3 linked regions of the Macaca mulatta genome follow. The protein of the gene in region 1 purifies or fractionates together with the protein of each later gene. This does not show direct contact. Links are inferred from orthologs where the notes say so. Each region holds a gene or a part of one and is shown in the gene's direction. Other genes may lie near its edges.

Region 1 (4,231 bases):
CCCTCAAGGGTTGTCCACCTGAACCCAAAACATCCTCTCTGCAGCGGCTCACTAGCCCCCCTATTCTATTCTGTGACACCTAACAGTTTAAACTTTTCCCCACTTAGCCCTTAGGACGACACAAGGACCACGTCAGCGAAATCATCCTGGGTATTTCCTGACACAGGAATCTGCCCTTTACCTCCCCCACCTACAAAAGGACGGAAATTGTCCTCCTGCCCGAGGGAAGGCTGCCCATCCCTCTCCAGGCTCTGTACACCCATTTCCTCCTCCTCCTCTTTGGGTGGCTATGAGTAGAGGGAGCGCATGGGAACCCTAGAACTTGGTGCCCCCCAGGCTGGGAGTAGCGGCTCACGCCTGTAATCCCAGGACTTTGGGAAGCCGAGGTGGGTGGATCACTTGAGGTCATGAGTTCGAGACTAGACTGGGCAACATGGCAAAACCCTGTCTCTACCAACAATACAAAAAAATTAGCCGGGCGTGTTGGCAGCCGCCTGTAATCCCAGCTACTCAGGAGGCTGAGGCACGAGAATCACTTGAACCCGGGAGGCAGAGGTTTCAATGAGCGGAGATCGTGCCACTGAATTGCAGCCTGGGCGACAGAGTGATACTCCCTCTCACAACAAAAAAAGAAAAGCTTGGTGTCCGTCCCCCCCCCCCAACCTTCTCATCCACCAGCACATGCCTCCTTGTCTATCTTCCCGGTGTCTGGACACTGAGGCCACAGAAGGACTGAACCAAGTTGGTCGGCCATGTCCTGTCTCAAGGCCGGGGGCCAGAGGCAGGGTGGGCAGGGACTGGTTAGAGGAAGGAGTAATTCTAGGTTTTTCAGGAGCTGGGTCTACAACCACAACATCCAACCCTGCAGGGAAGTTGATCCAGGGGCGCCCACCACGCCATCCCCTGGAGCTGCAGCTGGAAGCTGGGACTGGGCCTGGAGCTCCGGAGCAGCCCCGCCAGCCCACAGGATACGGTTTTGCGTAATGCAGGGTTGAAGGGGAAAACGACTACACAAGCCCCTGGTTCATTACATGGACACACGTTAGGCATCTACTGTGTCACCTGCGCTGTGCCGGGCGCTGTGGGGAACACAATCGGCCTTGGTGCCTGCCCACAGAATGCGACCTGGGGAAAGGAATTCGTCGCCTTCCCCAGCAGTGTTTATGAAAAGGCTCGGTCTTTCAACGAAAACAGCAAGTGAGCTGTAAGCGTCCTACCAGCCGCGGGACATAAGGCCGATCAAAAACCTCTCCTGAGGAAAGGAACCCGCGTCGAGATCCCTTGTAGGATCCGAGTACACGTCACTCCACAGCCACACTCAAGATGGCCGTCGGTCCGTTCCTGGGCTCCGCGCAGGCGCACTTCCGCCTTCCACGCCCAACCTGGCTCCGCCCAGGTGTCCCGGGGCGGGACCAAGAGCGGAAGTGGGTGTGACGGGGACTGGGGCCCGGTGCGCCAGCGAAGGAGAGATAGTGGGGAGTGGGAGCCGTGGGGTTCGGAGCGATGATTCCCCCACAGGAGGCATCCGCCCGAAGGCGGGAGATCGAGGACAAGCTGAAGCAGGTGGGCGTGGGCCTGGGGAGGAGGTGAGGGAAAGAGGCCAACAGCGGGGCCTGAGTGTCTACTCGGAGAGGAGGCAGGGGTGGGAGGGAGCGCACCGAGCGAGGAGATGGGGTTGGGGGCTAGGCCGTGGGGTCGGGACACAGTGGTCTCCTTTAGCTTCTGGTTTCTGGTGATGTCCTCCCCTTGCCTGCTCCCAGGAGGAGGAGACGCTGTCCTTCATCCGAGACAGCCTGGAGAAGAGCGACCAGCTCACTAAGAACATGGTGAGTCTCCTCGCAGCTGGGGGAGGGGGCAGGCCTCCGGACCCTGGGGGAAAGCCTTGCGACCTGGCGGTTCCAGTTCTTGCGGCCTGGGGTTCTGTCATGGGTAGCGACGCAGGCAGTGTGTGGGTTTATCTAGCAGCAGTTTGGCATCTCTCCTGCCTAGCCCCCTCCCCATATTCCGTCCCCTCACTGAGGAGGCTGCGCTTCCCCCTGGCCTGGACTTGCTGCTTTCTGTCTAAGCTCGCCATTCTTCCTTCTCTCCTTCTGCAAATACTCAGTGAGTCTGACCAGTTAGTTGGGCTAGGTACTGGGCATATGTCATCGTCAATGGATCCTCTGCCCAGGAGGTTGGCACTTTGAGATTCCTGAGAGCAGAGAAGACTCAGCCTTCACTCCAGAGGGCTTCAGGGAAAGAAAGAGCTCTGAAGTCAGGCAGATCTGGGATCTAGTCCTTGCCCTGCTGCTTAAGTGTGTGGCTCCTGATAGGTAACTCTGGTGTCAGCGAATTCATCTGCTAAAGCAGAGACTGTGCCAGCCTCCCAGTGTGTCTGTGAAGGTCATATGCGCTAATGCATGCGACTGCATCTTGCTCAGTGCCTGGTATACAATAGGTGCTCAATAAGTGAGGTTCCTTCTTTATTCCTAGGGGAGACTGGAAAAGCACAAAGTGAGTAAATACAAACTTGTATTTGTATTTAGTCACACAATAATAAAGTCCTAGTCCTTTTCTAAAAAATTTAATTTTAAAATTATTTCTTTTTAGAGACAGGGTCTGGCTCTGTTGTGCAGGCTAGAGTGCAGTGGCATGACCGTAGCTCACTGCAGTCTCTAACTCCTGGGCTCAGGCAGTCCTCCTGCCTCGGCATCCTAGTAGCTGGGACTGTAGGCACATACCACCACACCTTGCTAATTATGTGCGTGTGTGTGTCTGTGTGTGTAGACAGGGTCTCACTGTGTTGTCCAGGCTGGTCTTGGACTCCTAGTCTCAAGCAATCCTCCTGCCTCAGCCTCCCAAATTCTTAGGATTACAGGCATGAACCATCACGCCCAGCCTCTAGTCCTTATTCAATGAGTTTCATCCTTAAGAGAGTTTTGAAGATACAGAAATGCATTTGAGGCTTCTCTGTATGAAACTACTTCCAGTCCAGTTTAGGAATGCTTCAAAGAGAGCAGAAGTTGAGATTTGGCTTCAAAGGGTGGAAGGGAAGCCATCTTGGGCTGATTATTTTAGGAAGAATTAATTTGATGCTTGGTTTGCCTTCAAATAAAATTTCAACCAATTTGTCTTAAATCACCTACTATATGCTAGGCACATGATGGGTGCTGAGGATACAATGGGGAACAGATACACCCTCTTCCTTCCCTTGTGGAGTTTATTGTCTAGAAACCCAGAGAAAAGGCAGGAAATGCCCAAGGTGGGTGTGTAGAAGCAGTGCTGGGACCACCATGAGGCCTGAGATCAAGAGGCTTCCCTCCTGCAGGTGTCTATCTTATCATCCTTTGAGAGCCGCCTTATGAAGCTGGAGAACTCCATCATCCCCGTGCACAAGCAGACGGAGAATCTGCAGCGGCTGCAGGAGAATGTTGAGAAGACACTGTCCTGCCTGGACCATGTCATCAGCTACTACCATGTGGCCAGTGACACTGAGAAGATCATCAGAGAGGGGTGAGTTAGGCCCATAGGGTCAATTCCTAATCCCTCCTGGACCGGAGGGTTGGTCTGTAATCCCAATAATTTGGGATGCTGATGCGGGAGGATCACTTGAGACCAGGAGTTCAAGACCAGCCTGGACAACACAGTGAGATGCCTTTTAAGCCCTAAGCCTTAAAAGGCGGTGGGGGGGATAGCATATATTTGAACCTGGAGTCCCATGTATTAATTCTCTTCTTTCCCTTCCAAATACTGTGTCCTTAGTCCTTCTTCACCCCCCTTGCCCCAGCCTGACCTGGCTCTTTTGCTTCCCAGCCCCACAGGTAGGCTGGAAGAGTACCTGGGAAGCATGGCCAAGATTCAGAAGGCAGTGGAGTATTTCCAGGACAACAGCCCAGACAGCCCAGAACTCAACAAAGTGGTAAGGGATCTGCAGAATAATGTGAGGAGCTTGGGGATATCAGTCTCTGCCCTGGTCTCATGAGGGACATGGGGCCAGCTTGAGGATGTATACAGTAGAATACACAGAAGGATATAGCACAGTACATCCTCTAGGCATTAGTATCTCTGCCTCAAGAATTGCACATTTTTTATTATTAAAAATTCTTTATTATAAAACTTTTAAATGTATTATAAAAATTAAATTATAAATTACATATAAAATATATACTTAACATTTGATTTTTTTTTTTTTTTTCTCCTGAGACAGAGTCTTGCTCTGTCACCCAGGCTGGAGTGCAGTGCTCAGTTCACT
Region 2 (3,517 bases), on another chromosome or scaffold:
CTGATCTGATGCCTTCAGTGAGTCTTCTGTTTTGATTTTGGTAGTATGGTCCCTACTATTAGAAAATGCCCAGTTTATTTACGGAGAGAGAACCTATAGATTTTAAAAAAGTCATTCTTGACATAGAACAGTAGGTAAAGTAAATGAAATAGTTTGAATTTATTATGGAAGTTACTCTATTTGCAATTTTGAAAGTTAGAATAGAACATGATTTTAAAAACCTTACCAATGGGCCAGATGCAGTGGGTCATGCTTGTAATCCCAGCACTTTGGGAGCCAAGGTGGGAAGATGCCTTGAAGCCAGGAGTTTGCAACCATCCTGGACAACATAGCAAGAGTCCATCTCTACAAAAACTTAAAAAATTACCCCGGGGGTTGGTGAGCAACTGTAGTTTCAGCTACTTGGGAGGCTATGGTGGGAGGACTGCTTGAGCCCCAGAGTTTGAGGTTACAGTGAGCTGTGATCATGCCACTGAAATCCAGCCTGGGTGACAGAGCGAGACCCTGTCTCTAATAATAATAATAATAATAATAATAATAATAATGTACATTTATATATCATATTAAACCAAACAGAAAAATCTCTTTGCCTTTTCTAGAGCACACATTCTTTTGTTGTTTACTTCTTACTTACATTGATACGTTCTGTCCTATTTGTAAATCTCTAATCCTAAGACATATATTTATAATTGTGGTCCATTTGTTTCAGAGGATAGTTTTATTTTTGTCTTCTTTAAATCCAAAACCAAATAGCTATATTGTGGAAGGGATATAATAGGGACTGGGAAACGTTCATTTTGGGTTGTGTTATATATATTAAGGTTGGAGTTCATCAGAAAAGTATTTGTGATTAACCCACCTTCCCTCCCTTTCCCTCCCCTCCCCCACCCTGCCTTGTCTATCCTTCCATTTCCTTTGTCTGTCCTTCCATTTGTAGAAACATACTTGATTCTGACAACTATAGTCCTATACCAGTAACAAGTGAAGAGATGTACAAAAAGGTGGTAGGACAATTCCCATTTCAAGATATAGAACTGGAAAAGGTAAGGAATACTTTAAACTTCTCTGGTTGTTTTGGCATCCTCTTAAAAGCTTTCATTGGATCAGTTTCATTGAAAGCTGTGCCTTCAACTCAATGGGTTAGAACTCTAAAACAATTTCAAAGGATTCTTTTTTCTTTTTCTTTTTCTTTTCTTTTTTTTTTCACTTTAATCACCTTTCTGACAATGAAGGACTCTTTTTGGGGAAGACCAGAATTTCCTGATTTGGGAATCAGCAGATGGCTTTGGGTCCTATTACCTCTGAAGTGTTTGGAGGATTACTGTGGATGTTCTAATTCAGTTTGCACTTTGAAATACTTGTTTTTATTATAATTTAAAGACATTTTCCCCAGCAACATAAAATTTACCCTTTGTGATATACAATTCTGCTGATTTTGACAATGTATTGAGTTATGTATCCATTACCACAATGTTGATACCAAATAGGCCTATTATACAAAAAAAAAAATTTATTTAATGATGCCCCTTTGTAATTCCCTCCCTTAACCCAGCCCCAGGACACCAGAAAGCTGGGCTCTGTGCATCTACTTTTGCCTTTTTCAGAATGCCATGTAAATGGAATTGTATAGTATATAACTTCTTGAGACTAACTTCTTTGATATGACATAATGCTTTTGAGATTCATCCAAATTGTTGCATGTATCATTGTTCATTCCTTTTTATTTCTGAGTAGGTAACACAATTTGTTTATCTCTTTCCATGATGAAGGACATTTGAATTATTGTTTTATTAAAATTTATGTCTTTTTAATATCAGAAAACTTTGGGAGATATTTTCTTATATTTGAGGTTGTTAAGGAGACAATTCATAATGTAGAAGAATGTTCTCTTTGCAACCTAAATAATTTATAAATATCTTCAATGTTCCTTGGTTTGTGACTTGATTTCATTACTTCTTCCATTGACAGCAACCATTTCCAAAAAAGTTTCCTTTCTCTGAATTTGTGCCAAAAGTTTACAACCAAATTAAAGAATTTATCTACGCTTGTCTGAAGTTTTCAGAAGATCTTCATCTAAGGTATAATATAAAATAGTAGAAATGTAATCAATGTTAAGATTGTGACTTCATATATTTACATATTCTAAAAAACTTTTGATAGTCCCATCAGCTCTGATTTTGGAAACCTTAATAATTAGCTTTTCAATGCATAGCACTGCTATATTTATATAGTCATGATGAAAGGGAAGATTGGTAACTTTTGAATAATTTTGAAAATTTATATTATCTATCTTGCTCTTTATAGATTTGCATTTCAACACTTTCTATTAAAGATAATTTACCAGAAAATGGTAGACTGGATGCAGTGGCTCATTTTTGTAATCCCAGCACTTTGGGAGGCTGAGGCAGGAGGATCGCTTGAATCCAGGAGTTCAAGACCAGCCTGGGCCACATAGCAGGACCCCCATCTCTAAAGAAAAAAAAATAAGCAAAAAATACTAATTTTAACATTTTACTTAATGAAATGTTAAGGCCAAAAGGGGAGTATCAGATAAAATCCTTTGGAAACATTATTGCTCTACTCGTATATGTATGTTTTCTGTATATCCTAGAGTATAGGCTCCTTTGTTTCTTTATTCATGTATTGGTTTTTTCACCATACATTTTGGCTAATGTGTTATTTGGCAGCTGCTCCTCAGTATAGAAATAATTAAGATGATGAAAATGTGGTCCCTGTCTTCAAGGAGTACCTAGTCTAATTAAGAAGCTGAACAATTAATTAATAAGTGCTGGAGCAACATAGAAGCCAAGCCAAACACAAATGAGGATGTTTGTGTTTTTTACCCTGGGTTTCCATCCCCCATCTGCCTAGTCCCCACTTCATTAATATAAATGACCTTATATTAGATAATTGTCTGTAGGTTATGTTAGGTATATTATTGTAGATAAATCATTACAAGTTGATTGCAAAATTACTTTTTCTATCTTCTTTTGGAAGAAAGGTAATATGGTAAAGGAATAATATTAGTAATGGGATAATGTCAGATGCCTTTTTCTTGCCTGAATATGTTAAGTTTTTGCCTGAAAACTTCCTTTAATATTTTTCACATTTAAAATTTAAATAAAATATTTAACTCGGGGATTTTAGAAAAAGATGCCTTTTACTCTTCAGTTGGCATTTATCTTATATCGTGGAATATGTTTAGCTTATAACCTGGAGTGACAGATTGCTTTGTCAGTCATATCTGTTTTGTAGTGGAGGCTAACATGAAACATGAGAAAATTTGTATAAAACAATTATTTCTTTTACATGCAGGCTCTCAAAACAAGAGAAACCGCTGCATTCAGATTTTAATGCAGCTTTAAGAATAATTATTCTCTTAATTTTCTCTTTTACACTAGACAGAAGAGGCCAAAAAGCATTATGCACATTGACAAAATTTGTAATTGCATGAATTTTGAATACACAAAACTTTCTTTTTGAAAGAAAGATTTTTTAAAAATAGCAAACACATGGC
Region 3 (3,517 bases), on another chromosome or scaffold:
GCTACTCTGGACTTGAGCTCAGGAAGTTGAGGCTGCAGTAAGTGACACTCATACCACTGCAGTACACAGCCTGGGTGACAGCAAGACCCTGTCTCTGGAAGAAAAAAAAAAGTGAGGGAAAAGGGTTCATATGGGGAATAGTAGATAAAGATGTTAGAACATCTGTTTAGATTTCTGATTGCCAGACTACAGGAAAAGCCAAAATCCTAATTTTTTACTTGCTAAATGTTTAAGATTTGAAACATACTATGAAAAGTTATTTTAAAATAACTGGCAGTTAGATTCTTGATATGTGTGTGTGTGTATATATATATATATAAAAATTCATAAGCAGTATTTGCAGCAGGCTTTTAAAATCAGATAGTTGTATCCTATAATGCTGTAGTTATGTAGATATGGTACAGTTGCTGGAAGTAATAATCCTATTTTTAAAAATTAGGTGATTTTACATACATGTAACCTGTATTTTACTGGATATATCTTGTGTTTTCTAGCTGGTGCAAATCATCATAAACACAACACACCTGGAACAAGCTTGTAAATATCTTGAGGACTTTATAACTAACATTACAAATATTTCTCAAGAAACTGTTCATACTACAAGACTTTATGGACTTTCTACTTTTAAGGTATGTAAAAATTTGACCAAAAGTTTTCATTTCAGTCACTGTAAACAAACGTTAAGAAATTAAAGACTGTTCTTATTATATGCAAGATCTACTATATTCCTAAAAATTAAGAATAGAGGTAATCATTGTCAACAATGAGCAGATAAATGTAAGGTTTTTTTTGGCACCGTAAACATCTTATTAACATGGAGAAAAGTATACTTATTTTCTACAATGTATTACGCTTTGTTCATGTTTTGATGATTTATAGTAGTGCTGAATAGGTCTAACTGAATTAATATTTCACAGTTTAAAAATTAATTCTATATGAGTGTTTATGTTTGAAAATTTTAAATGTAAGACAAATTAAATAAGGATAGATTTGTTTTCCATCCTTGACTGGTTCTGATCTGAAGAAAAGCAAGTATTATTACATGTCATTGAAGTCCTGCCTGTTTTGTGGATGGGAAGATTTCTGTTTTAATAATATACAGGATATACTGAGGATTAATTAACGGTTGTTTTAGGTAGAATGTAAGATTAAATAATTTCATAAGCTATTTTATTATTTTATTGATTTGGAGTCATAGATGAGACACTAGCTTAGTCTAGTGTATATAAATCCCCTTGCATTGAATATTTTGTTAAACTAATGATAAACCATGTACTGATCACTTATCTGCAAAATGGGCTTGCTAATTCAACCTTATAGCTCTTTCTAAAAGTTTCCTGTTAAAAAGAATTCTCTTTAACTACTTTTGTTATATTATCAATCACCCCCAAGATTTTGTTGTAATAACTTGCATTTTAAAAAATGAATGTACTGGCTGGGCATGGTGGCTCACGCCTGTAATCCCAGCACTTTGGGAGGCCGAGGCTGGCGGATCACAAGGGCAGGAGATTGAGACCATCCTGGCTAACACGGTGAAAGCCCGTCTCTACTAAAAATACAAAAAATTAGCTGGGCGTGGTGGCAGGTGCCTGTAGTCCCAGCTACTCGGGAGGCTGAGGCAGGAGAATGGCATGAACCCGGGAGGTGGAACTTGCGTTGAGCGGACATCACGCCACTGCACTCCAGCCTGGACAACAAAGCAAGACTCCATCTCAAAAAAAAAAACAAAACAAAAAAATGAATGTTCTTGTGTTTAAAAATAACTAATTTAATGTTAACATTTAACCATACTTTGAAAGTGTGAAGTCCACAAACAACCCTGGAATGCTAGAATTATCTGCTTGGCCCCCAAATATTATGCTCCTCTGGTGCCTCTTGAGCTAAGTAGTCATTTCAATACATAAGACACAAATGCAGAATGATACCTGAATCAGCAGACTTAACAAAATTAGTTATTAAAACTTAGAAGCCTAAAAAAGCAGGCATTCATTTATTCAGATAATATAGTACAGTGATTAAATTCATATACTCTGAAGTTAGATTGCTCTGTGGTCTTGGGCAAGTTCTTTAATGTGATTCCAAGTTTCTTTATCTATAAAATTAGAGTAACAGTACAGTACTTACTTCATGTGATCATTATGAGGAGTAAAGAAGACACTTAGCACAGAACCATTCACTGTATATAAATCATGCTCTGAGCACTCTGTTTAGACTCTGAGAATACAAAAATGTATCCCTGCCCTCAAGAAGCTCAGAGGAGGAAAAAAATAAAAGACACTTAACAATGTGGTATGGTAAGTGTGATAATATAGGAGGAGACGCCACAAGTTTTTAGTCACTTACTTATCCAAGGACAAATTGATTCTTAGCTTTTATGTTAGATTTTACATAATGCCTCTACTTTCTCTTCATTGTTCTTTCTGTCCTTACATCCATGTGTTACTCATACTCTGTCAAGAAGGGATTTCTCAGGCTTAGAATTGTAGGCATATTTAACTGTTAACATTACATTTAATATGCTTACCCAGTACTCTCTGATTAAAACATGAATTACTTTAGCATCTTGTGTTTCTAGGGATCTTAGAGTAATTTTCTTATCGATTATAAGCCAAAGAACCAAAGATACTGGAACACAATGCTCTTAGATTAGGGGATCTTGGAACTGTATTTCTCAAAATCTGCCTGTTGGGAAAGAATGTTTAGAAATGTTAGCTCTGGTTCATCATTCCAGAGTTGAAACCACAACTGTCATTGCATACTCCTTGGTGGATTTCCTTGGAAATCAAGTTCTGCTCTGTAAATAGCGAAGCATCTTTGTTTTTTGTTGTTTATTTGTTCGTTTTGTTTTCACACAGAACTCAGTAAATGCTTTTCTGTTTTCTAATATGTGAGCAAGAGCTGTTTTCATCTTAATATTTGAAGGTCAAGTATTTTTCAGTTCTATCTTTTGGTCTGTTTCAAGAGGAATTTGTCTCAAAATGTGATAAGGGGAAGTACTTCAACAGGGAGGATTGTTAAATCAATATTAAAGTGAATTACTGAGGGACACTGGGGAATTTCCATTCACAGTGAATAGTCTGTTGCCTCTTTCACAGAAACGATTGAAGTACAGTCTTGACTGTAGACATTTGATTGGATTATTTAGCCTATTAGCCTGATTTTTTTTTCAGTTCAGTGACCCTAGAAAACATATTTCTATTTGATTGCTTAATGATTCTGGAAACAAGCACTTAATGATACCTATACCTCCATTTGCTTCCCTTCCAAAAACTACGTATGCACACACAAACTGCCTGATCTTGTGTCATATATATTTAGGTTATGAAATAGTGTATAGACAGTTTTGTTAACTTGTTTGCTAACTCTGTAAGTGACATAAAAGAAGTTCATTAAGTAGTTCCTACCCTCAAGCAGTACCTCAGCTTTTTGAAAGTAACTCAGACCCAAATAGAGAGCTACTTAAAGCTAATATAAGACTTCTCTTAACTGGAAAAATTTGCATCAATATAGATGAAAA

The links. The genes of interacting proteins can lie anywhere in the genome.
Region 2: the proteins of EXOC7 (region 1) and EXOC6B purify together in Homo sapiens (affinity purification with mass spectrometry; 3 studies listed by BioGRID and IntAct, with this or other methods). This does not show direct contact. The link is inferred for Macaca mulatta from reciprocal best matches to the Homo sapiens genes EXOC7 and EXOC6B.
Region 3: the proteins of EXOC7 (region 1) and EXOC6 purify together in Homo sapiens (affinity purification with mass spectrometry; 4 studies listed by BioGRID and IntAct, counting the BioPlex papers as one, with this or other methods). This does not show direct contact. The link is inferred for Macaca mulatta from reciprocal best matches to the Homo sapiens genes EXOC7 and EXOC6.

The regions. Positions count from the first base shown.
Region 1 is NC_133421.1:85,832,940-85,837,170, reverse strand, and holds the start of EXOC7 (exocyst complex component 7), read left to right. Parts: upstream 1-1,420; 5' UTR 1,421-1,503; coding exon 1,504-1,563; intron 1,564-1,760; coding exon 1,761-1,826; intron 1,827-3,307; coding exon 3,308-3,492; intron 3,493-3,792; coding exon 3,793-3,898; intron 3,899-4,231. UniProt on the Homo sapiens protein: Component of the exocyst complex involved in the docking of exocytic vesicles with fusion sites on the plasma membrane.
Region 2 is NC_133418.1:52,251,593-52,255,109, forward strand, and holds part of EXOC6B (exocyst complex component 6B), read left to right. Parts: intron 1-937; coding exon 938-1,043; intron 1,044-1,968; coding exon 1,969-2,078; intron 2,079-3,517. UniProt on the Homo sapiens protein: Component of the exocyst complex involved in the docking of exocytic vesicles with fusion sites on the plasma membrane.
Region 3 is NC_133414.1:104,906,139-104,909,655, forward strand, and holds part of EXOC6 (exocyst complex component 6), read left to right. Parts: intron 1-494; coding exon 495-629; intron 630-3,517. UniProt on the Homo sapiens protein: Component of the exocyst complex involved in the docking of exocytic vesicles with fusion sites on the plasma membrane.